Linked DNA regions of Arabidopsis thaliana. The protein of the gene in region 3 interacts with the protein of the main gene of each other region in a biochemical or structural test. Each region holds a gene or a part of one and is shown on either strand. Other genes may lie near its edges. The genes, in order: AT3G21210, AT4G01200 and PPDK.

Evidence for each region.
Region 1: of the proteins of PPDK (region 3) and AT3G21210, one has a biochemical effect on the other in vitro, tested with the Arabidopsis thaliana proteins (one study listed by BioGRID).
Region 2: of the proteins of PPDK (region 3) and AT4G01200, one has a biochemical effect on the other in vitro, tested with the Arabidopsis thaliana proteins (one study listed by BioGRID).

What each region holds. Positions count from the first base shown.
Region 1 is NC_003074.8:7,437,464-7,444,743, reverse strand, and holds AT3G21210 (zinc ion binding protein), read left to right. Parts: upstream 1-3,917; 5' UTR 3,918-3,987; coding exon 3,988-4,564; intron 4,565-4,665; coding exon 4,666-6,503; 3' UTR 6,504-6,780; downstream 6,781-7,280. Other genes in the region: AT3G21215 (RNA-binding (RRM/RBD/RNP motifs) family protein), read left to right, coding at 7-186, 266-341, 539-668, 785-899, 1,223-1,314, 1,431-1,500, 1,589-1,671, 1,769-1,871; PGR7 (proton gradient regulation 7), read right to left, coding at 6,899-7,156, 7,264-7,280.
Region 2 is NC_003075.7:503,654-509,320, forward strand, and holds AT4G01200 (Calcium-dependent lipid-binding (CaLB domain) family protein), read right to left. Parts: upstream 3,974-5,667; 5' UTR 3,883-3,973; coding exon 3,130-3,882; 3' UTR 2,858-3,129; downstream 1-2,857. Other genes in the region: PIPK10 (phosphatidylinositol phosphate kinase 10), read right to left, coding at 558-837, 929-1,037, 1,121-1,216, 1,310-1,357, 1,447-1,538, 1,632-1,819, 1,900-2,010, 2,108-2,270 and 1 more; AT4G01210 (glycosyl transferase family 1 protein), read right to left, coding at 4,085-4,540, 4,641-4,719, 4,815-4,964, 5,061-5,224, 5,314-5,502, 5,598-5,667.
Region 3 is NC_003075.7:8,863,280-8,873,318, reverse strand, and holds PPDK (pyruvate orthophosphate dikinase), read left to right. Parts: upstream 1-2,447; 5' UTR 2,448-2,570; coding exon 2,571-2,843; exon of another isoform or gene 2,844-3,032; intron 3,033-3,999; exon of another isoform or gene 4,000-4,135; coding exon of another isoform or gene 4,136-4,144; coding exon 4,145-4,201; intron 4,202-4,309; coding exon 4,310-4,543; intron 4,544-4,910; coding exon 4,911-5,048; intron 5,049-5,142; coding exon 5,143-5,305; intron 5,306-5,384; coding exon 5,385-5,620; intron 5,621-5,697; coding exon 5,698-5,826; intron 5,827-5,910; coding exon 5,911-6,090; intron 6,091-6,333; coding exon 6,334-6,636; intron 6,637-6,716; coding exon 6,717-6,878; intron 6,879-6,955; coding exon 6,956-7,045; intron 7,046-7,137; coding exon 7,138-7,273; intron 7,274-7,345; coding exon 7,346-7,523; intron 7,524-7,602; coding exon 7,603-7,861; intron 7,862-7,946; coding exon 7,947-8,084; intron 8,085-8,161; coding exon 8,162-8,331; intron 8,332-8,445; coding exon 8,446-8,491; downstream 8,492-10,039. Other genes in the region: AT4G15520 (tRNA/rRNA methyltransferase (SpoU) family protein), read right to left, coding at 8,953-9,179, 9,355-9,481. UniProt on the Arabidopsis thaliana protein: Formation of phosphoenolpyruvate. May be involved in regulating the flux of carbon into starch and fatty acids of seeds and in the remobilization of nitrogen reserves in senescing leaves.

The DNA.
Region 1 (7,280 bases), on a different chromosome or scaffold from region 3:
GTTCAGCTGCGGACAATCTTCATCGCAGGGCTTCCCGATGATGTAAAAGAGAGAGAGCTTTTGAATCTCTTGAGATGGTTGCCTGGTTACGAGGCTTCTCAGGTGAACTTCAAGGGAGAAAAGCCCATGGGGTTTGCTCTTTTCTCCACAGCTCAGTTTGCAATGGCAGCCAAAGATACCCTTCAGGTCTGTCTGCTTCTGATCATTGTTGACTCAGATCCTTTTTTGTCTTCACATTATGACATATGTTGTTCTTGGCATGCAGCATATGGTGTTTGATGCTGAGTCAAAGTCTGTGATACATACAGAGATGGCCAAGAAGAATCTTTTTGTTAAAAGAGGTTAGCTCTACCTTTATGACATAAAATGGCTGTATTTTATCTATCTTAAGCATTAGTCATGTTACTGAAGCATGTTTGATACAGTTTTGTGCATTTATACGGGGTCTCACTACACTCTCCCCTTTATCTAGTTTCTTACTTCCTTTGTTAATATCACAAACCATATATAACCTTTGAACTCAATCTTTATTCTGTAGGTATTGTTGGGGATTCAAATGCTTATGATCAAAGTAAGCGCCTACGAACTGGTGGTGACTGCACACACTCTGTGTATAGTCCATCTCCTTTCCATCCTCCACCTCCTCCTGTGTGGGGACCTCCTCATGGGTTAGGCATTTGCTTCTCCTTCATATTTCATATGCTGTGTAGAAATTGGACGATGTGTATTTGGTACACCGTTTTATGTTAAGTTGCTTATTTGACAAGAAGATAAATTGGTTCAGATATATGGCACCTGCACCTCCACCATATGATCCCTATGCAGGTTATCATGCTCCCCCTGTACCAATGCCTACGCCCCCACCTATAGCAGCTCCTAGTTCTTATGTGCCTGTCCAGGTGAAGTTGCACTGTTTTCATCATTTTATTTATCATATGGTGGTTGTGCAATTATATACCCGGAATCCATATTGTACTTGCCTCTCCTTGCCTAAAAATTACAATCTCGAACTTCATTCTAATTAGCTTACATGCTATACTCTCTGGTGGTTGTGTTGTGGAACAATAGTTGTTGCCTAATTTAAATGCATTGTCTACTGCTCTGAATTTGCTAAAGTTTCTGATTGTTTGATAAATTTTGTACCTAGTTTGATGAATATCTAGCCTAGGTTTGGTGATCTGATATATGTCTCATGTTGTTTTCAAATTTTTTTCAATTGCAGAATATTAAGGATAATCCACCTTGCAATACCCTATTTATTGGTAATCTTGGGGAGAATATAAACGAAGAAGAATTGAGGAGCCTGTTGAGTGCGTGAGTATCTGTTCCCTTTAGTGAGACTCCTGTCCATTGCTTTCCTTGAGATCTTGGCCTTTTTGTAGACCTGTGTTCTCAAGAATTCTGCGGTAAACTGTACTTTCATTTTGCAGGCAACCTGGTTTCAAACAAATGAAGATTCTGAGACAAGAAAGGCATACAGTTTGCTTTATTGAATTCGAGGTTAACTCTGAGACCTTCACCATCTGTGTATATGTGACAGAAAATATTCTTCTAGCATATTGTTAAATTCTTCTATCTGGACTTGCAGGATGTCAATAGTGCCACAAATGTTCACCATAATTTGCAAGGTGCTGTCATTCCAAGTTCTGGTTCAATTGGCATGAGGATCCAATATCCTTATATACTTTTACTCTTTCTGATTATTTAATATTCCAGTATGCCAAGTTCTTTTTTCTTTTCTGTTTGATTCTTCTTAACCCAATGATACATATTCAAAGAATCCATATGGGAAGAGAAAGGAAGGTGGCGGCTATTCTTTCTTTCCTTCTCCGAGTGCTAATGGAGCCCAAGGAGCCCTGACATATCAGTAGGCCTTGAAGGGGGACGTACTCTCTTCCTTATCTCCCAACAACTGCACGAATACGATGCATCTTCCAGGCAGTCTGCATTTCATCCATTTCCATTCTCGACATTTTTAAGCATCAGCATTGCTTTGTCATGTGTTGGGTGCATATAGTGTGACCTCATCAACATATAACATGTTTCAGTTTCTATTAGCTCTGCTACATGCATTCGCAGTGTGGTTTTTGATGATTGTTTGAATTATATAGGAGTTTGGTTTGCTATTTGTTTATCTTATTGCGGCTTTAATACATCACTTTGTGGGATTCATTTTCATCATTCTGATCGATTCATCCTAATGAAACGTTAGCTAGGAAAAAACATAACATTACATTAGATCATAACATGATAACATCCGGAGGCCTTCCATCAACTTCGTTTCACTGCATGGACACGGAATGTTGCTCTCATGATTGATTCATCCTAACGAAACTCCATTTGCTATGTTAGCTGATATACCATTACATTAGATCATAACATGATAACATCCAGAGGGGTTTGATCAACTTCGTTTCACTGCATAGACATGGAATATTACTCTCATGATCTATCACATCGGTTTCATTCTTCAGCATTTCCCATGTCGATCATTCTCTGTTCTTACTTAGGCTGATGAACAAGCACATCCGTTTTGTCAGAAGTTGACAGCTGATATAACATTTGAAGATAGGCATTCCATTACATTGTAGGTTTATTATAGTTGAGCAAACATATATACATTCCCAGCTCTGGCTTGGCCTTATGCAGGGACAATCCGTAAAGAGAAAGCCCAAGCTCTCGAATAGAGATGCGTTTCACCTACAAAGTTGAGGTAAGGTCATCTTCGGACGTCCAGGAACAGAGCCAGGAGTTCCTAAGAGCCTATCTTTTTACAATGGAGTCTACTTATCCAATCCAACTTATCTCTTTTCTAACTGATGTTTCTGTACGGCTTTGGGCTACTTGACTCTGGATGTGAAAACCAGAAGCGAATTTAGTGATTCTTCAAATGAGAAAGTTTCTCTTCCATTTTCAAGAACAATGTGTGTATAATTGGTCGCTTACTTATCAGATTTTGAGGTATAGGATCTCTAGGGCCTAGTTTCATGTTTTGTTTCTCTGAATTCGAACCATGGTAAATTTGCTGTAAAGAGAGGTAGGTAATATAATTAACCCAAGAGACAACCCAAGAAGAATCGATAAAGGAGTGTCTCAACTCTCAAGTAAGAAACATGTTTTCATTATTATGATTGGCGAGTCTCAAGCTTTCATCACTGTAGACAACAAAGAAAAAGATTTGTTGCACAAAAGGGTTTGTGCATTCCTTAGACCAACTTTCCAGAGAAGCAAAACATCTAAAACCACAAAACCATGGTCTTAAAAGAAAATTCTTAAACGTCAGGTGTGTCTGAGCGCAGAACTGTCAAGAAAAACAAGATAAAGAGTTGGGAGGTTAATAAAAAGAAGAAAAAAAATATAAAACGGAACTGAGAGGTAAAAGATTGAAACCCCTCTTCAAGTTGTTCAAGTAAAGATCATCAAGCAAAAGGTAGAGATGTCGATCAAATTGGTGGAACAAACGCACGGAGAGGGAGGAGAATCGTGAGTAACGTGCCTGGTTTCTGAGGCTTTCCATCGGACCATTTTGGAGAGGGAGAAGTGAACCTTGTCGCGATTGATTGTTTCAGCTTTGAATGGTTCTTTGAGACGGATATACGCCGTCCCCATACTCGTTCTCAGCCCATTTTAGGCCTTTCTGAATTAGGCCCAAATACGTTTACGTGTTTTTAGAGGAAAACTTTCAACGTGCATGTCAAAGACAAATTGTTTGTTTATTTTCTCATCAAGCAAGACAGAGACTACTATTTTGCTTTTTTTAAAAGAAAACGATGTAGCATTTTCCTTGTCGAGAAGCTAAGGAAACCTGACAAAAATGCAAGGGATAACAAACGCATTAACCAAAGTATAATTTTTTACAAGCAAAGAAACATTTGCACAAAACCCATAAATATAAACCTCATTATCCCATAATTAGCAATGCTGCATAACACATAATTTAAAAACCCTAAGAAAAAAATCGGAAGTTTGTGGAAGCAAGAAGAAGAAATGATGAATCCAGAATCCGATCATCCTTCATCTCCTCGTCAACGTAAGATTGGAATCGCCGTGGAGCTCTCTGAAGAAAGTGCCTTCACTGTTCGTTGGGCTGTTGATAACTACATCCGTCAGGGAGACGACATCATTATTCTACACGTCTCTCCAACCGCCGGTCTCTTTGGAGCCGATTGGGGATATTACCCTCTCCAAACTCAACCTCCTTACACCACCGCTTCTATTTTCTCCAAAGTAGCGGATCTCGGGAAGCCATTGAAGGAAGCTGGATTCCCTCACACGATTCATACAGTCAAAGATTACGATAAGAGAGAGAGGCTTTGTCTTGAGACTCAACGGCTCAATCTCACTGCTCTGATTATGGGATTTGGTGATGGCTCTGTTAGTGATTTCTGTGTTCACCACTGTGTTTGTCAAGTCGTTGTGGTTAGATACCCTGATGGTCCTGGCAGTGTTGAAGGTACTCGGGCAGCGCCTATTGTAACTTTCAAATCACGTACGGATGATGACGAAGAGATAGATAAGGCTAAGACTGCTCTGACTGCTTCTGTTCATCATCAACACATCAAAGGTTTCTTTCCTTGTGGTTTTCATATTTACTTGCAAAGCACTCTATCTATCCATCATAAAAAATTTCATGTCCTCCTTTTTTTTTTTTTTTTTCCGTCTTAGCCATGGATTCGGTGTCAAAGCAGCCTCTTCTCTTTTGCCCTCGTGCATATTTTACTAACAATGAAGAAGATTTTCGCGCGATGCAATTCCGAGAGCCACCAAATCTTTCATCTCCATCTTTTCACCTCACCTCCTTAGTTTTGGGCAACGACTTTAACATAACACGCAAATACTACTACGACAGACATGGCAAGGGCTTCATTAAAGGCCATAGACCTAACAAACAATGTGAAATATGCTCCAAGTCATTACTCGGTACCACGTTTTATTCCTGCACGTTATGTCTCCGTCCTTCATGTTCCCCTCTTCAATCTTCAGTATTATCACGCTCTTCAGGCTACTACCACGAAGCCTGTATCGAGCCGATATCAAAGCACCCATATCATCCTAAACATGCTCTCCGATTTCGTTATGAATCAGGTCAGATATGCTTATCTTGTTCAACTTTTAAGGATTTTGCTTACCATTGCTCTATATGCAATTTTACCATGTGTCAAGATTGTGCTAGAGAGCCACCACTCTTTGCAATAGACTATCCAAAAAGGCATGAGCATACACTCTTCTACTTTCAAAGGAAAGGCTCCTTGATTTGTGACGTTTGTGGGTTGAGTGATGGCAGGTCTTTGCTGTATTCCTGTGTCAAGTGTAATTTTGTAGTCCATAAAGAGTGTGTCTATTTTCCATGCATCATAAAAATATCACGTCATGAACATCGTCTCTCCTTCAATTCTTCACTTACTCCTGAACAATGGTTATGTGGAGTGTGTCGTGAAAGCATAGACACAAATTTTGCAAGATATTCTTGCGTAAAGGGTTGCAGTTTCGCGGTTCATTCTAAATGTGCAACGCGAAAAGATGTATGGGACGGAAAAGAACTTGAGGGAGAACCAGAAGAAGATGAATCTCTATATATTTTTAAGTCGTTCAATGAGATAAGTGATGGAATTATAGAATATTTTCGTCACAAAAGTCATCATATGAGACTGGACGAGGATACCAACAGAGCATTTGACGAGGATAAACGTTGTCGAGCATGCACGTTTCCTATCTGTGATGATCTTATTTACAGTTGCATGCAATGTGATTTTATCCTCCATCAAACATGTGCACATCTTCCTCCGAGGAAACAACATGCGACACATCCTCATCCCCTTCTTCTACTGGTGGATGAGGAACATGAAGATTATTTTCAATGCACTGCTTGTAAGCGTGAAAGCAATGGTTTTGCGTACACATGTTGTGCTAGGGATTGCAACTTCACATTAGACGTATCTTGCGCTTCTATAGCTGAGTCATTGATTCATCGGTTTCATCCGCATCCTATTTATTTAATACATGAATCCACAGCGCAAGAGTTCTGTTCGATTTGCGGACAACTCATAGGTCATCGTCTAAACTGTGGAGAATGTCGTTTTGCTTTGTGTTTTGGGTGCGCCACTTTACCCAATAAGTTGAGGTATAAGCATGATGAACATTTTCTCATATTTTCTTATGATGAAGACTTCAGTGGTTCACAAGAAAGTGGTCCGCATTTGTGTGAAGTTTGTGAAAAACAAGCAAATCCGAAGAATGGAGTTTATATGTGCAATGATTGTAACGTCACACTGCATGTTGAATGTCTTCTTGGAAAGGAGATGTATATGATGCCTATTGGAGGGCTCATTTCCCGTAACGTAAATGTTGATATTCTTCCCAATAATCGTCTCACTCGCAACATATGCCAACGTTGCCATAATCGTTGTCAAGGAAAAATAATCTTCAAAGCACGTGACAGATCAACATTTTTATGTTCTTTGTTTTGTTGTCTGACGAAGAGTTGGGTGGACAGAGACACATAGTCCAAACGAAACGATTATGGCAATAGAGTTATGAACATACTAGATCGTTGTCGGTAATAGAGTTATGGACAGCTTGCTTAAGACGTTGGTTTGAAATAGTAGAAAGCTAAAATGAAAATTTCCTTGATTACGTTATTACTTGTTCTTGTCTCTTTTGCTGAACATAGAGATATGTTGCTCTTTTCTATGTATCTATTTGCTTTCTCTTTCTCTTTGCTTCCTTCTCATAACTAATGTTTATTTGGGGCATATATATATGAACTTATATATAAAAAAAGATGACAAACATTACTTCAAGTAAACATATACTATTCCACGAGAGCCAATGCACAATTTTGGCATCAACTTGTAAATAAAGAATAATGGGGACAAGCAAAAAAAAGTCATTAGTATTGTTATTGTCCTCCTCCCTTGTGAGAATGAGATGATCCCACAACTTGCTTAAGTAGTTTGACCTTGTTGAAATCTGCAGGGCAATAGCTTTTCTCTACTTCCCAAGCGAGCTGTGACATTCCATTGAAGGATGATTTTGCTCCCTTTTCATCTGTTACTTCCATTGGAAATGGAATCCTCACATCATATACACCTCGTGGAGACCATACCCGAAGGTCGAATCCAAGCCTATCCATCCATATCATCTTTGTTTCTGAAACCTGGCATTAGTAGTAGTTTTGGTCTTGAGATTGGTAATCGACTGAACATGTTATCTTAGATTGAACATTCTTTGAAGTAGTTGCATAGCATGTTGAATAATACTAACCACAAAGTCTAGATCCA
Region 2 (5,667 bases), 8.4 Mb from region 3:
GTAAAGCCCAAATAGAAATGGCTTTGTTTTGTTTAGTATAAAAGTTGTTAGGTTAAGGATAATAAGATATTAAATATGTTGTAATGTTGTAACAGAAGAATTATTTAGAGATTAAGGAGAAAAACGTTGAACTGGCTAAACCTAATCTCTAAGAGATCTAAAGAGAGTAACAATGTAGACATACAAGACTAATCTCTGTAAGTGTTCTAAATGCTGCTTTGTGATTAACAAAACAAAGTAAACAGAGATATATATGTTCCAACTGAAAGTTTTAATTAAAGGGTTGACTTGGTTTGATTGGTTTTTTCTTTTGTGTTGAACCAAGAACAATGTTGGGTTTTTTTTATTTTGGGTTTTGTCTTTTTCTGTATTTTATATTTTTGATATATGTGTATTAATAGTTCATGTTTTTCTCTACATTTTGTTGATCGATCAACAATGAAGTCAGAAAAGAGAGGATTTTTTGGACAACAAACACCAACACCAACTTGGGTCGTAAGAAGTGTACCTCTTAACACTCTAATAATTCCACTTGGAAATCAAAAATAACAAACAACTCAATATTTCGAAGAGAGATCATCGTCGTGAGGTAGGAAGATGTTGGAGACAAAGTCTTGGAATCTAGAAGAGTAGATCTTAGGATGGACGGTTGAGATTGAGTTTGAGTTATATTGAATGGATTTGTAACAATGTTCTATGCGTTTCTTCATACCATAGTCTTGAAATGTGTCTACTATCCCTATATACAAAACAACATTGTACCATTCTTCTTCTCCGGTTTCTCTCGTCACTCGCCGTGCCCTCGCTGGAATCTTCATCCCAAAATTGATATTTGAGCTGAAACAAGAAAAGTTAGATATATATATATATTTTTTTTGATGTGAAATTTCTAGCAATGTTGTTATATAGGAGTAGGATAATGCTTTACCTATTGTGAAAGAGGTCACTGAGTGTTGTGGCTAATATATTTGTTTCTGAGCTTGCGCTATTGCTTGTCACTGATTGTATAGTCATTGACATTTCGTTTTCGACTGAATCTGTTAGTAAGACAATAAGTTTATAAAAATTGTAATTTTTGTTAAGTACTATGATTAATTAGATTAAAAAGTTACATTGTTACCTCTATCGGGAGAGCATGAATACATTGCTACAGAAGATCTATCAGGAGAACTAGAAGCCGTCTTCATCGACTTTGTGCTATTGCTTTTGAACGAGCCTGAAAAATTTAATCGGTAGACATTTATGTTGAAGACTTGGTATATAAGAACATAAAACAAAAGAATGAAGAATGTTGGTAAGGATTTTTTACTTGGAGGTGCGAAGCTACCGTAAACCGGGTTCAATCCATCAAGTGAACCTGTTAAGAGTGATTTATTATTATGATCAGAAAAGTTCAAAGTCGATATGCAAATAGTTGCACTCCTAAGAAGAGAGAAGAAACATTACCTTGACATGAGCCTTTAGATTGTAAACCAACCAATAAGCTATAATCCATTATACCTTCTTCTTCCAAAAGCTCGCAATCTAGCTTTGTTTGCCTGTAATGAGATGACCCCTTTTGTGTTTAATAAATTGTTGAGTAACTAGAATCAAGATGGTAGAAAGAAAGAGGGGTGGGGGTGGGATAGTACTTGATGATGCGTTGTCTCGCCAAAGGATCAACGTAGAAACAGAAATCGAAATCGATGTCCTTCAAAACAGTGGTGTTTCTCACTTCAATTTTCTTGTTAGATCGACCTTTCGGAGAACCTTTAAGATCATAGAGCTTGTTCACAAAGATCGTTGAATGTAGCATGTTTGACATCACAGCAAAATATGTCTGTATCCCCAAAAAAGTAACTAATTAGTGGCTGATCAAACTCTAATAATGGAGTGGTATATATATATAATCCTTGTCACCTTAACACCTCCAAGAGGCTTCACAGAATGAGCACCAAAAATCCTTGTGAATAGTGATGATCTGTGATAATTAATATGTCTGTAGTAACGTGGAAGCATCTCTAGTGTCACCTTCACAAGATTGTTTTCAATGAAAGACTCAATATGGAACATATATACACACTTGAAAAAATTAAAAGTAGATTGTGTTAAGATGATTTTGGGGTACCTTAATTTCGGATTTTCGAAGAATCTTGATGAGAAAACGGTTATCATTGGAAATATGAAAGACATTTCCAATTTTCCCAGAAGAAATCTTCTTGAGAGTCTCATCAGTGCAAATGGATAGCAAGTAATCATCATGATCTATACCCTCAAGTTCTTGAATAAGTCTACAAACAACAACAAAAAAAACATTACAAAAACCAATTCTCTTCTTTTTTTTACCTTAAAACATGAAACTATGTTATTACGTACGTACCCGAAACCAACGGGACAGTAATCCTTCCAATCAAACTCAGTGATTGAGCCAGGTGGCAAGTGTTTAATGTGTTTTGTAGAGTATCGAATTCGATTCTCCACCGTGGCTCTCAGCTCCATGGCTGTTATCAATCTCGTAAACTTTGCCATAATTTAAACCCTAAATAGATCATAGCAAAATCATAAATTTATGAACTTAATAAAAAACCTTAAAACTAAAAATTTGATTGCTCTACGTATATGAAGATTTACCTGTTTTCGTACAAGCTGCAATTTCTGATAAAGAGGAAGGCACAAACAGAGAAGATGAAGAAGACAAGAGAGAGTGATTGATTTTTTTATAAAAGATGATGATTTTGTTATTTCTGGTAGGACGTAATTAGTGGTTTTAACTAATCCAGCCGTTAAACTAACAATTATCTCCTCAAAACTTCATAAACGACTTCCCGCGTTTTTTTTTTTTTCACTTTTTACATAATTTTTACTACACTTTTTTTCTGTGATCTACGAATTATTACTATTTCATATCAAAAAGATTTTTTAATTGTTCAAAAACGAAACAACAATTATTGAATATAATGTTTTGAGCAACTAGAACTAAAGAAATTCCAAACTGTTTGTTAACTAACACTCATAACCGCCAAAACTGCCTAAACGACGACGTAAGGGATAAGGAGACCTGAACCGTTGACAGAGATGCACGTGACGAAGATCGATGGTTTAGAAAACCAAAGGAACATCTGAACCGTTGGAAATTCAAGACAACAGATCTCAGCCGTCCGTCATTTTTCTTCTTGGTGGTAACATGCCCGACGATTTCATCAAGAAACAGCACATCAATCCTCCGCCGTCCGATGACGATCGCACGTGATTCTTTCCCGCCAAATTTCGAACAGCGTTCCAGTCTCTGAGAGGAGACGGCATCGGAGAAGACGCCGTCGAGTCAGTACCGTCGTCGGAGAAATTAACCGATCCGCAAACCGAATTCTCTTTCGAACTCTCACCGTCGTCAGCGGAACCGTTCTCCGACGAACTAACCGCAGATCTAGACTTTCTCATTTTCCGACTCCGACGGATCTCTTGAACCGACTTGAAGAAATCAGCTGGAAGTTCAGAAGCATCCATCACCATAGCCGCGATGTTAAGAACGCCGTGAAACTTTCCAGAAGGACGACGGATCTGAAGCGCGACGAGAGATGGAACTTTCACGGCGGCGGTTGGGAGGAAGTTACTCACGAGGAAGCGAACAGTTCCGATCAGATGATCTCGCAAGTAACCAACGGCGTAGATCTCGATTGAAACACCAGAAGTTTCGCTAGATAGAAACTCCGGCGATACCTGGAAAACGAATTTGTCGTTCCAGATCGGATTCTCAGAGCCGATCCGATCAATTCGAGTCCGGAGTTTGCTGGAAGAATCAACCCAGACGGATGCGTAAGTCTGCAATCGCCGGAGCTTTCCCGTCGGTTCTTTAAGTCCTTGCGCAGAGATGAGATTGATCTCAAGAACTTGCGTCTCCTCCATCTTCTCTCTTTCTTTGTTGTTCACAGTGAAGCTCCACCGCCGGAGAATTTAAGCCGTCGGTTAAATCGAAGAGAGGTGAGAAGAGAGAGGGAGAGTGAATGAATGAGACTTGAGACCTTTTATACAGTAATCTTTCCAAAAACAATGAATGAAACAAATTAGTGACCTAACAAAAAAAGAAGCAATTTTAATTTGTTTTCTTTTATGCGTCTACTACATTTAACAAAGTGGAATTTCCGGTAACAGTTTCGTTCTCAGGCGGTGGTTTTACATATTTTCCGATCACTTTCTGACGACCACTTCTACTTCTCATTCTACTCAGCTTATCTCGACTCTTCTTCTTCTTCTCCTCTTTCTCTAAATTCTTCTTTTGCTTCTCTTTCTCTAATGTACCGCGCCACACGATCTCGCCAGTCCATGGCCATAGCCAGTGACCCACACGACGGTCTGAGTCGGCTTCTTCAGCTAGATCTTCGTCCATTGTTTTCAGAGTTGTGTAATCGAACCACTTCACCCACATTTTCCCTCGCCGGTTCTTCTGTTTGTGTTGCTCTTGCATCAAACCAGTCTCAGGATCTATGTAGACAATGCGTCTTGCACTGTGGTAAGCCCATACGTTCACCAGAAGCTCTAGTACCCGCGAATAGCAATGCTTGTCCTGTGAGAAATTGAACACATAAATCCAAACCCAAGTGGACTGATCTGATTTAGATCTAAAAACACATGAACTTTCGCAGATGAAGGAATGAGTTTCTTACTTTGGTTAAACTCAGATAGCAACGGTTTGTTCGATGATGCTCTTCATATATCTGTGCATCTAGTGAATCCACAAACATCCTACAAACAGATGGGAAAACACACTCTTAAGCACTCTTCTTTCTCCAAAGAGGCTAAGACTGAGACAATCAATGGGTAATGTGGTAAACAAGTACCTTGAGAACATGACAAACTCTAAGAAGGATCTTGTTGGCAATGCCCAGCTCTGCATCACAGACCATGTATCCCCATCCTCGGGCATTGGTGGCAATGAGTCCAAGTTCTTGATACTGTACATTTTCTTCAAAGTTTCGTTGTAAGCAAACCTTGATCCAAGCCCATAAATTGCAAAGAGTCAGGTAAATGACCAAAGTCTCAAACATTATTATAAAATTATGATTTAAAATCTCTAGTGTTTCTACCTGCAATTCCCAGCATTTATGGCATCACAGAACGACCAAAAGGGTTTCTGCAGAGGATTTCTGGGATCTTTGTCCATGCGAACCCAAAAATATAAGGCATCTCCGTGTTTTCGTGTTTGTATAGCATTAAGTAATGCGTCTTCAGCAATCTTGGATAAAGATTCCTGTTTCAAAGTCCCACATTACATCACAGGGTAATTTTAGCATTCTACTATACAAAGGATGAAGGATTTTATAAGAAAAAGTTGTTTACCTTCCTGGCAGTCGCTCTCCAGGACTGAAACCCAATCCATGAATTCTTGTGTAACCGATCAATCTTGTTTGAGATTGCAAAAAAAGCTCCAAAGTCACCAAGAGCATCGCGATAGTACGGATTGTTGAAAAGCGGAAGACGTGATGATGCATCGACATCATCCATCCTAGGTCTACGTCCTTTAACTGACTGCAATATGATACATTCAAATCAGTTGAGAACAATTTCTCTCCTTTGGACCATCTTATGGTTGCAAAAACACTATATTGCACATGGAAACTCACCAGGCCAACCCCACGATAGAGGGGATCTTGATGTAGAAACGACCAGGTTCCTTCACCAAAATAGGGTTCA
Region 3 (10,039 bases):
TTAGTGACCACAAAATGTAAAAAATATCTCTCAACTTGACTAATACTTTACACCAAAAGGATCATAGATTCGAATATTCTAGGGACCCCATGACAATGAACTTTGCCCCATTCTAGCTTTGGTTTCTTCAGCTAAATCATTCATTCAACTGAAGAAAAGTTTCCAATTTTCCATTTGAACTTTCTTATCCAAAGATTGAGACTTTATATCTTCAGAGAACAAATCTTGGGAAGGGGATAGTGGATTTTCTCGTCACCTTGCAGAGAGATTAGCCCCAAATTATGAAACCTTTAATCAATAGTAACTAACCTGAAGCAATTGGAGTACAAAAATTAGACTAAAGCTTCGATTTTCAGTATCATCCAATATATTAGCATTAACCTTCACTAATCTCCGATATAGCAGATATGTTCAGCCGTGCGCGACGGCGAAACGAAACCAGAAGCTGGGTGGGTCTGAGACTCTTGACTCTCGAGTGTTTGAAATCTGTGTTTTTTTTTTCCATTAAAATAATAAAAATGGTTCAAAAAAATATACACAAAACGTCTACATTATCCCCAAAAATCTAAAAGTTCCTCAATTTTAATATGAGATTTTCTACTTGAAAGCACAACATTTAAGAATTACATAGTTATATATATTTCATTAAGAAAATCATTTATATCAACTAGAAATAATTCAACCAATAAGAAAAAATAATGCAGAATATTAGGAATCATAAAACATCAAATTGAATTAAATAAAGCATAGAAACTTGGAAACAAAAAAATCTAATGAATGAGAAAAAATTACTTCTTAATCATGTTACATAATGGAGAACAGATGGACTAATAATTTATTTTAATTAGAAAAAACCTTTTCTGTATAAACATTAAACAGTGATAAAAAAAACACTCGTTTAACTTTCTAAGATAATTGAATTGAGTGGGTCAAAAATATCCTGAAATATTAATCTCTAAAAATGTCAAAAAAACATATGCAAATATAAATATTTATATATGTTTTAAATAATTTGTAAGAAAATTGAACCATTGGTTGTAAAAATTTGAAAAAACAAATACTTTGAAGATATACCAATTTTTAGAAAAACACTGAAAAAGACTTAATTATTAAAAATATATTTTCTTCCATTAAATTTAATAGTCATTCACTTCATTTTATCATATATTTGATCAAATGATGGTTATCTCACCTAATTATCATTTATCAATTATCATCACCTAAATGATGGTATTGCAAAACATTGGACCGGCAGTCTGGCACGCAAGCGTTGGCTCACATCTTCCACGTAATTGCCACAATTTATGAGTCTTTGGAGTTATCTAATAGTTATACTCTAACCAAAAACATCACCAGAAAGTTCAACAGAGCATGGCACATAGCCACACACTCCCATAACATTTGGGTCCCTTAGTTAACTCGAGCATCAATGTATATGACACTTCCAGATTCTTCGGAAGTTCTAAGCCCTCTCTTTTCATTCTTTGAATGCTTTTTTTTTTACTGCCATGCGTGCATTTCCATAAATGTTACAAATTTTTGAAAAAATGGTCTCAAGTTATATAATATTCATGCTTGCTTCGTGAATTCCTTTGTCCGATTAGTAATCAAATGAGCGATTGAATTTTTTAAACCATTTTAAACTAATTAAGCCCCAATTAAACTTTAGTATGATTTACCCCCCCCCCCCAAAAGTCTTAACAGTTTAGATGTAATTGTATAAATTATTATAAGCATGTATCGCTAAGTTAATATTATAAACTTAATCAATAGATTAAGAAAAAATGCATTCATTATCTTCTTCTTTTTTCTCTTCAACATTCTTTTAATAACTTAACAAAATGATATATAAAAATGTATGCAACAGTATACAAACAAATTTTTGTAAATATATAGTTAAATTGTATACCACATCCCTCTCCTGGAACCTGGCTAGTCATATTCACACCGAGCAGAACCACAAATACTTTTAGGTTCCTACTCCATCAATCTCCTTTATTTCCTTAATATCTTAACATGTGGAAAACAAACCAAGCAACATCATTTTACCAATAAGATGGAGTTGAACTTAAGAAAAAGTTTTTTACTATTTGAAAATAAAACTATATACATATGACCTCATAATTTTGGAAACTGATTCTTATTCAAAACCTAACAACTTCTAGAGATCAATTTTAATGGTAGCCACTTATATGGTCGTTCAAAGGAAAAAGAACAACCGTGGAATGGACACATTAGCCAATCATAACCACATCTATCTTTCATCCACTCACGTCACTCGTCAAACCAAAATCTATAAACCTCCAAAAATACATAAAATATAAATAAAAAAATAGATCACATAAAGTCTACGTAACTAATAAGAACCAACAAAAATCAAATAAATTAGGATCAGAGAAGAAATTTATAGAACCGCCATTTCTACTCTCGCAAATAGCTAACCATCAAACACCAATTTCCATATCACGTAAGCTATATATATTTTTATTTTATACACTCCTTTCTCTCAACTTCTTTATTTTTATATACAACTCTTAAAAGTAAGTATATTATATTTATTTAAGTGGTTTATGCTTTATATAAGAAAGAAAATGACAAGTATGATCGTGAAGACAACGCCGGAGCTCTTCAAAGGAAATGGAGTGTTCCGTACGGATCATCTCGGAGAAAACCGAATGGTTAGTCGATCAAACCGGCTAGGTGATGGATCAAACCGTTTCCCTAGAACCGGTACAATCCATTGCCAACGGTTAAGCATAGCAAAGACCGGTTTGCATCGTGAGACGAAGGCTCGAGCCATACTTAGCCCTGTGTCCGATCCGGCCGCTTCCATAGCCCAAAAGGTAAGCCTTTCCATTTCAATCATTCTGGTGTATTTTCACCATAAAATTTTATACACTTTTTTATTACGTTTTGTTTTATGATTCTGACGTGAGATTCTTGAGAGAAACTATCACCGATCATTGGGTCGAACCATCTAGCAGCTCAATTATTATCGGTTATAACCCTACCGGTTATAGAATACAAAACAGGTTACGCCATTGTGACATTTGCTTTGTGATCTTGTGAGACGATTAATTATTTGATGTTGATTGGTTTCGTTACTCTTGTTTAAACAATCGAACGGTTCAAACTAATACACACATGTGATGTGAGATCATTTCGGTAGTAATACCAAATAGCGTCTGGCCTAAATTATGAAAGTACTATTTTGAATTAAATTATTGTGGAAACATGAACTTATTTAAATTCAAGTATTTTCGAAATTTGTAATAAAAAAAAACTTTTCCTCTAGATTCATTAGCCCTACTTTTCGTAGAAACAACTTTAATGTATTCAAAGACCACTTTGCTGCTTAAGTCAGACTCTTGTGCCACTTGGTAGATCCACCAATGCCACGTTTTGTTATTGTGCCAAAGAATACGTGAATATGTCCAAACGGCAATCAAATTCTTGGCGTAAAACACAAAAATTATGATACTAGTTTAAATCCACAATTCACCTTCACCATAAAGAATTCATGTATTAGAGATGGTATGACAAGAACTGGTTGAATTTGATGACATTTGTTTGCTATTGTTTTGGTTAAGTAAAAGTTTTGTTAAAAAGGAAAATAGCATCGGTAGTGGCAGATAGCAAGTGTGTGAGTGAGATCAGATATGGTTGACACATCTATGACGAGTCATCGCAACGAAACTTCTTTAATTTTGGTCAATTATATTACAATTTAGCATTTCGAGGTTGGAATTTTGGAATGATCTCTTGATAAGATAATAATGTATTTTTGATGACGTATCCATCAAAACTATAAATGATTTATATTAAATATGAAATTTCGACTGTATACAAGTTTTTATATTATAAAATTATTCGATGTACATATGATCATAATAATAATTATTTTTTATTTTATTTTATTTTTAGCTTAAATTATAAACATTATATTTAGCTTTTACATAATGGACATGTCAAATTTAGGATGGATAAATTTGATCAATTTATCTTTGTGCTTTAGACAGAATCTATTTTATCCAATTTTTGCTTTACTATATATATAGATACGTATATGTGTTCTTAAACTTGCACAAACATTTCTGCAATCTAAACCTCAATCAAAACAAACAAACAAAAAACCATGATGCAGCGAGTATTCACCTTTGGAAAAGGAAGAAGCGAAGGCAACAAGGGCATGAAGTCCTTGGTATGTTACCAATACCATCATCATGATCATATCAATTCATTAATAATTTAGTGTTTGCTATTTTCAAGAACCATTTATCAAAAATGTTAATTGTTGTTGTGTATGAAGTTGGGAGGGAAAGGAGCCAACCTGGCGGAGATGGCTAGCATAGGCTTGTCGGTGCCGCCGGGGCTAACCATATCGACGGAGGCTTGTCAGCAGTATCAGATCGCCGGCAAAAAGCTTCCAGAAGGTTTATGGGAAGAGATCTTAGAAGGTCTTAGCTTCATCGAACGTGACATTGGAGCTTCCCTCGCTGATCCCTCCAAGCCACTCCTCCTCTCTGTTCGCTCCGGCGCCGCCGTAAGTTAATTATAACTTTTTTTCTTGACTATTTTTATTTTAAGGATTTTTTCTAATGTTAAATTTCTGTTTTTTTTTCTTTCTATGTTTTCTTTAATCTTTTGAAGATTTTTTGACGCAGATTTTGACTTGTTAGATTTCTTTTATTGAAGTTGAGATCCAAATATTTTTTTGGTTATTTTGCCATTTGGCCGTTTTTGGAAGAGTTTAAAATGTACTAGATAGAAAATGAATAAGTTTTGTGGCTATTGAAAGACCTAATGATTTTGGTATTCAAACTATAACGTAGAAAATGAAGATCTTTCGTTTATCTATTTTTAAAACAGAACTACATTGACTTGTCTTTGATCGATATTTTGCATTGTAGATCTCAATGCCTGGTATGATGGACACTGTACTTAACCTTGGCTTGAACGACCAAGTCGTCGTTGGTCTGGCCGCAAAAAGCGGAGAGCGTTTTGCTTACGATTCGTTCCGGCGTTTTCTTGATATGTTTGGTGATGTTGTAAGTCCTCTGTTTTTCAATACTATTTCAGGTAACTTGCATGACAAGAAAATTCTTTGACCTACCTTATAATTGTTTTCTTGATCAATAAAAGGTGATGGGAATTCCACACGCCAAGTTTGAAGAGAAGTTAGAGAGAATGAAGGAGAGGAAAGGAGTTAAAAATGACACTGACTTAAGCGCGGCTGATCTCAAGGAATTGGTTGAGCAGTACAAGAGTGTTTACTTAGAGGCCAAGGGTCAAGAGTTTCCTTCAGGTTTGTTTTGATTCCTACTTGAGGTCAAGTGATAAAAATTAGTTATTAGTTACAAATGTTTAAACGGGGTTAATTGCAGATCCAAAGAAGCAATTGGAGCTAGCGATTGAAGCGGTATTCGATTCTTGGGATAGCCCGAGAGCGAACAAGTACAGAAGTATTAACCAGATAACTGGATTGAAAGGAACCGCGGTTAACATTCAGTGTATGGTGTTTGGAAACATGGGGGACACTTCAGGGACTGGTGTTCTCTTCACTAGGAACCCTAGCACAGGAGAGAAGAAGCTTTATGGCGAGTTTCTAGTTAATGCTCAGGTTTGGCATCTATCACAATGTGTGAATCTCATATCAACAAGTAAGCCCATACTCATTAAATATTGGTTTTGGGACAGGGAGAGGATGTGGTTGCAGGGATAAGAACACCAGAAGATTTGGATACAATGAAGAGATTTATGCCTGAGGCTTACGCTGAACTTGTTGAGAACTGCAACATCTTAGAAAGACATTACAAAGACATGATGGTTGATACACATAAACAATACTTCAATTAGTCCTCATCAACAATTCTTTAGTAATTTAAACAAAATCTCAAATGTGTATTGCAGGATATTGAATTCACAGTACAAGAAGAGAGATTGTGGATGCTGCAATGCAGAGCGGGTAAGCGAACGGGTAAAGGCGCCGTGAAGATAGCAGTTGATATGGTAGGTGAAGGGCTTGTTGAGAAATCTTCTGCTATCAAAATGGTGGAGCCTCAACATCTTGATCAACTACTTCACCCACAGGTACAAACTCAAATATTCATCTTCTTCTTTTTTCATAGTCATAAACTTGATGTTGAAACCAAAATTCGAAACTTACTGGTAATGATTGGTTCACTTGAACAAGAACTAATGGGTTTAAGACGTTTAGGGTTTAGGAGTAAAAGCAGAGATGATTGTCTGACACGTAACCGATGAATAGGGTTTGGAAATTTTGATTCAGAGGTCAATGAAGGTTTTTTTTTTTTTTTTTTATTGATGGATTAGTTTCATGATCCATCGGGGTATCGTGAAAAAGTGGTGGCCAAAGGCTTACCTGCGTCACCAGGAGCGGCGGTTGGACAGGTTGTGTTCACGGCGGAGGAAGCCGAAGCTTGGCATTCTCAGGGTAAAACTGTGATTCTGGTTCGAACTGAGACAAGCCCTGACGATGTGGGAGGTATGCACGCAGCGGAAGGTATATTGACGGCTAGAGGAGGAATGACGTCACACGCGGCTGTTGTTGCTCGCGGTTGGGGAAAATGTTGCATTGCTGGTTGTTCCGAGATTCGTGTCGACGAGAACCACAAGGTTTTTGGATTCGATTTTAGAAACTTGTCATATAAGTTAGGGGAAGATTGTTTCTAAAGTTAGGGTTTAAAAATTTTCAGGTTCTATTGATTGGAGATTTGACGATTAATGAAGGCGAATGGATCTCAATGAACGGATCAACCGGTGAGGTTATATTAGGGAAACAAGCATTGGCTCCTCCGGCTTTAAGTCCAGATTTGGAGACTTTCATGTCCTGGGCTGATGCAATCAGACGTCTCAAGGTGTTTATGAGTTTCTGTTCCTTTAACTTGTTTGATATTTTTAAACTTTCTAACTCAAATGTTCGATGACCGATAAGGTTATGGCGAATGCGGATACACCTGAAGACGCCATTGCAGCTAGGAAAAACGGAGCTCAAGGAATCGGGCTTTGTAGGACAGAGCATATGGTAACTCCTCCTCTGTACTTGATTTCATGTTTTTGATGATTTAGATTGTTTGTATCCAAATGTTTAATGTTGTCTTTGGTTTGGTTTTTAAGTTCTTTGGAGCAGATAGGATTAAAGCAGTGAGAAAGATGATAATGGCGGTAACAACAGAGCAAAGGAAAGCTTCTCTCGACATCTTGCTTCCTTACCAACGTTCGGATTTCGAAGGGATCTTCCGTGCTATGGATGGTAAATGTTTTGAGTCGTCTCTCTAAAATGTATCACAACTTAAAACATGCCTAAACCTTTTTATTTTTCTAGGTTTACCGGTAACAATCCGTTTGTTAGACCCTCCGCTTCACGAGTTTCTCCCGGAAGGCGACTTGGACAACATTGTACATGAGCTAGCTGAAGAAACTGGTGTGAAAGAAGATGAAGTCTTGTCACGGATAGAGAAACTCTCTGAAGTGAATCCAATGCTTGGTTTCCGCGGTTGCAGGTTTCTTACTCTCTTTGTTTCTCTCTGTCTCTTTGCACCTGAAGAACAATCTGATGATCGGTAAACTTGTACGTTATAGGCTCGGAATATCGTATCCAGAGCTAACGGAGATGCAAGCGCGTGCAATTTTTGAAGCTGCAGCGTCAATGCAGGACCAAGGTGTTACTGTCATTCCTGAGATTATGGTTCCACTTGTAGGAACTCCTCAGGAATTGGGTCACCAAGTTGATGTAATTCGTAAAGTTGCAAAGAAAGTATTTGCTGAGAAGGGTCATACCGTGAGCTACAAGGTTGGGACAATGATTGAGATCCCTCGAGCCGCGCTCATTGCAGATGAGGTAAATGTAACAAGACACAAAATGTGTTTTAGGCACTTGAAACCATGTTGCTATTTGCTAAGTAGGAACCTTTTTCTTTTGACAGATTGCGAAAGAGGCGGAGTTTTTCTCGTTCGGGACAAACGACTTGACGCAGATGACGTTTGGATACAGTAGAGACGATGTCGGCAAGTTTCTACCGATTTACCTCGCCAAAGGAATCTTACAGCACGACCCTTTTGAGGTATAATGACTACCATTTCGTTTGCTCTCTATCCATAGGATAAAATCTTGATAGCCATTTTTTTGTGTTTGGACCAGGTTCTTGATCAGCAAGGTGTAGGGCAATTGATCAAGATGGCGACAGAAAAAGGACGAGCAGCTAGGCCTAGCCTCAAGGTTGGGATATGTGGAGAACATGGAGGAGATCCATCTTCTGTGGGATTCTTTGCTGAAGCAGGACTTGACTATGTCTCTTGTTCTCCTTTCAGGTAATTGATTAATTTCCAAACCAATAAACACTTTTTTTACAACACTATTGTATAACTCAGATTGATGTAATTTTGGGATTTCTGTTGTTGTTGTTGTTGTTGTTGTTGTTGCAGGGTTCCAATTGCAAGGCTTGCAGCTGCTCAAGTAGTTGTTGCATGATGAAGAAAAAACTTGGTGGTGTTATTCTGTGAATAAAAAAGCTTTGGTTTCTATTCCATAAAAATGAACAAAATCAAAGATATTGGATTTAACTATTTTTGTTTCCTTCTAAAGAATGTAGAATATAAAGCCTTCATGTAATAATTGAATTGCTAATAAAATAAAAACCATTGTTTCTAAACAGAATACATGAGGAAGACAATGTAAGACAGCGTAATGAGATTCTATCAACTGAATCATTTTCAAACATGTTCATAATCATAGTATCATACCAAAGGCAGATCAAATAATCAAAATCAACTTAGCCTAATTCATAAGCTTTCTCAACTTGCGAAACAAAGATTCGGTAACTAGGGAATGAACAAGCGTGAGTAAGCTAACTTGCTTGATAATATATATTGAAGGATGTGTTTCCCAGGATTGGAACCCAAATCAAGACTTTGTTCTTTTATAAAAGATAATTATTCGTTAAGGAACAAACCGTCCAAAAGGTCGGATGATGAACTTCCATTTTCATTTCCATTGTCATCGAAAAACCCATTTTCTGCACTTTCTTTCCTCAACTTCCGCTCTTCAATGACGGATTCTTCTGTGCCGGCGCAGAAATTTCGTCTTCCTTGTCTTACGGGTCTATCAGCCACTATAAATTTGCTTCCATCCCGAACACGTTCAGAAAATCCAGCCCAAACTGTAATAGAACAATACTATTCTTAAGCAACCAACACTATCAATCTATCTTTAATGTCTATACATGACTAAGAATTCGTGCCGAGTTATTATTCTCTACAATCTTGCTTTCCATCTAAGTGTTTTCAAATCTTAAACAGCATATAAAAAATGGGAACAAAAACAGAAAAAAATACCTCCAAAGTGATGCAAAACAATAGAAGCTGCAACAGTAACATTCAAAGAGGCAGTGCCACAGCCATACTGAGGAATATATACAAAGAAGTCGCATATTTCGTATTCCTTCGCAGATAATCCTGATCCCTACAGAAGCCCAAAACTTGGTCCTTTAGTAACAATTTGTTCAAATCTTGAATGCTTATAATTACCATTTAGCTAATGGCAGAGACCAACAATCATTGAAGCCAAAAAGATTAAATGGGCAATAGTCTCCAGACAAAATAAAAAGAGTTAGAATCGCATAGGGAGAGGATTACATAAGAAAGCTCGAGAAGTCAATTAACTTTGAGATAAGTAACTTCACTACAATCTCTGGTGTTGTAAAATTTGTTTCAAACCATTGAAGTTTCTGTTATCTACTTGTTCCCTCATTACTGTTAACAGATGAATTTTACTAAAGATCATGTAGCACACTGTGTTTTGAAATAAAGTGAGATCCATATTCAAACTGAAGAAGTAAACTAACTCTCACATTAGTAAGTGAAGATACCTAACTAGATTCCAGTTTCTTGAATCAGAAAACGTCTTTCAAATCACTGAAATTAAGCTCACAGATGAAGTGTAATAGAGATTATGATCTCATACCAAACAAAAGTACCCAAGTTCACAAAACTAACCAAAGTTGCAACACTCAAAAGTTTT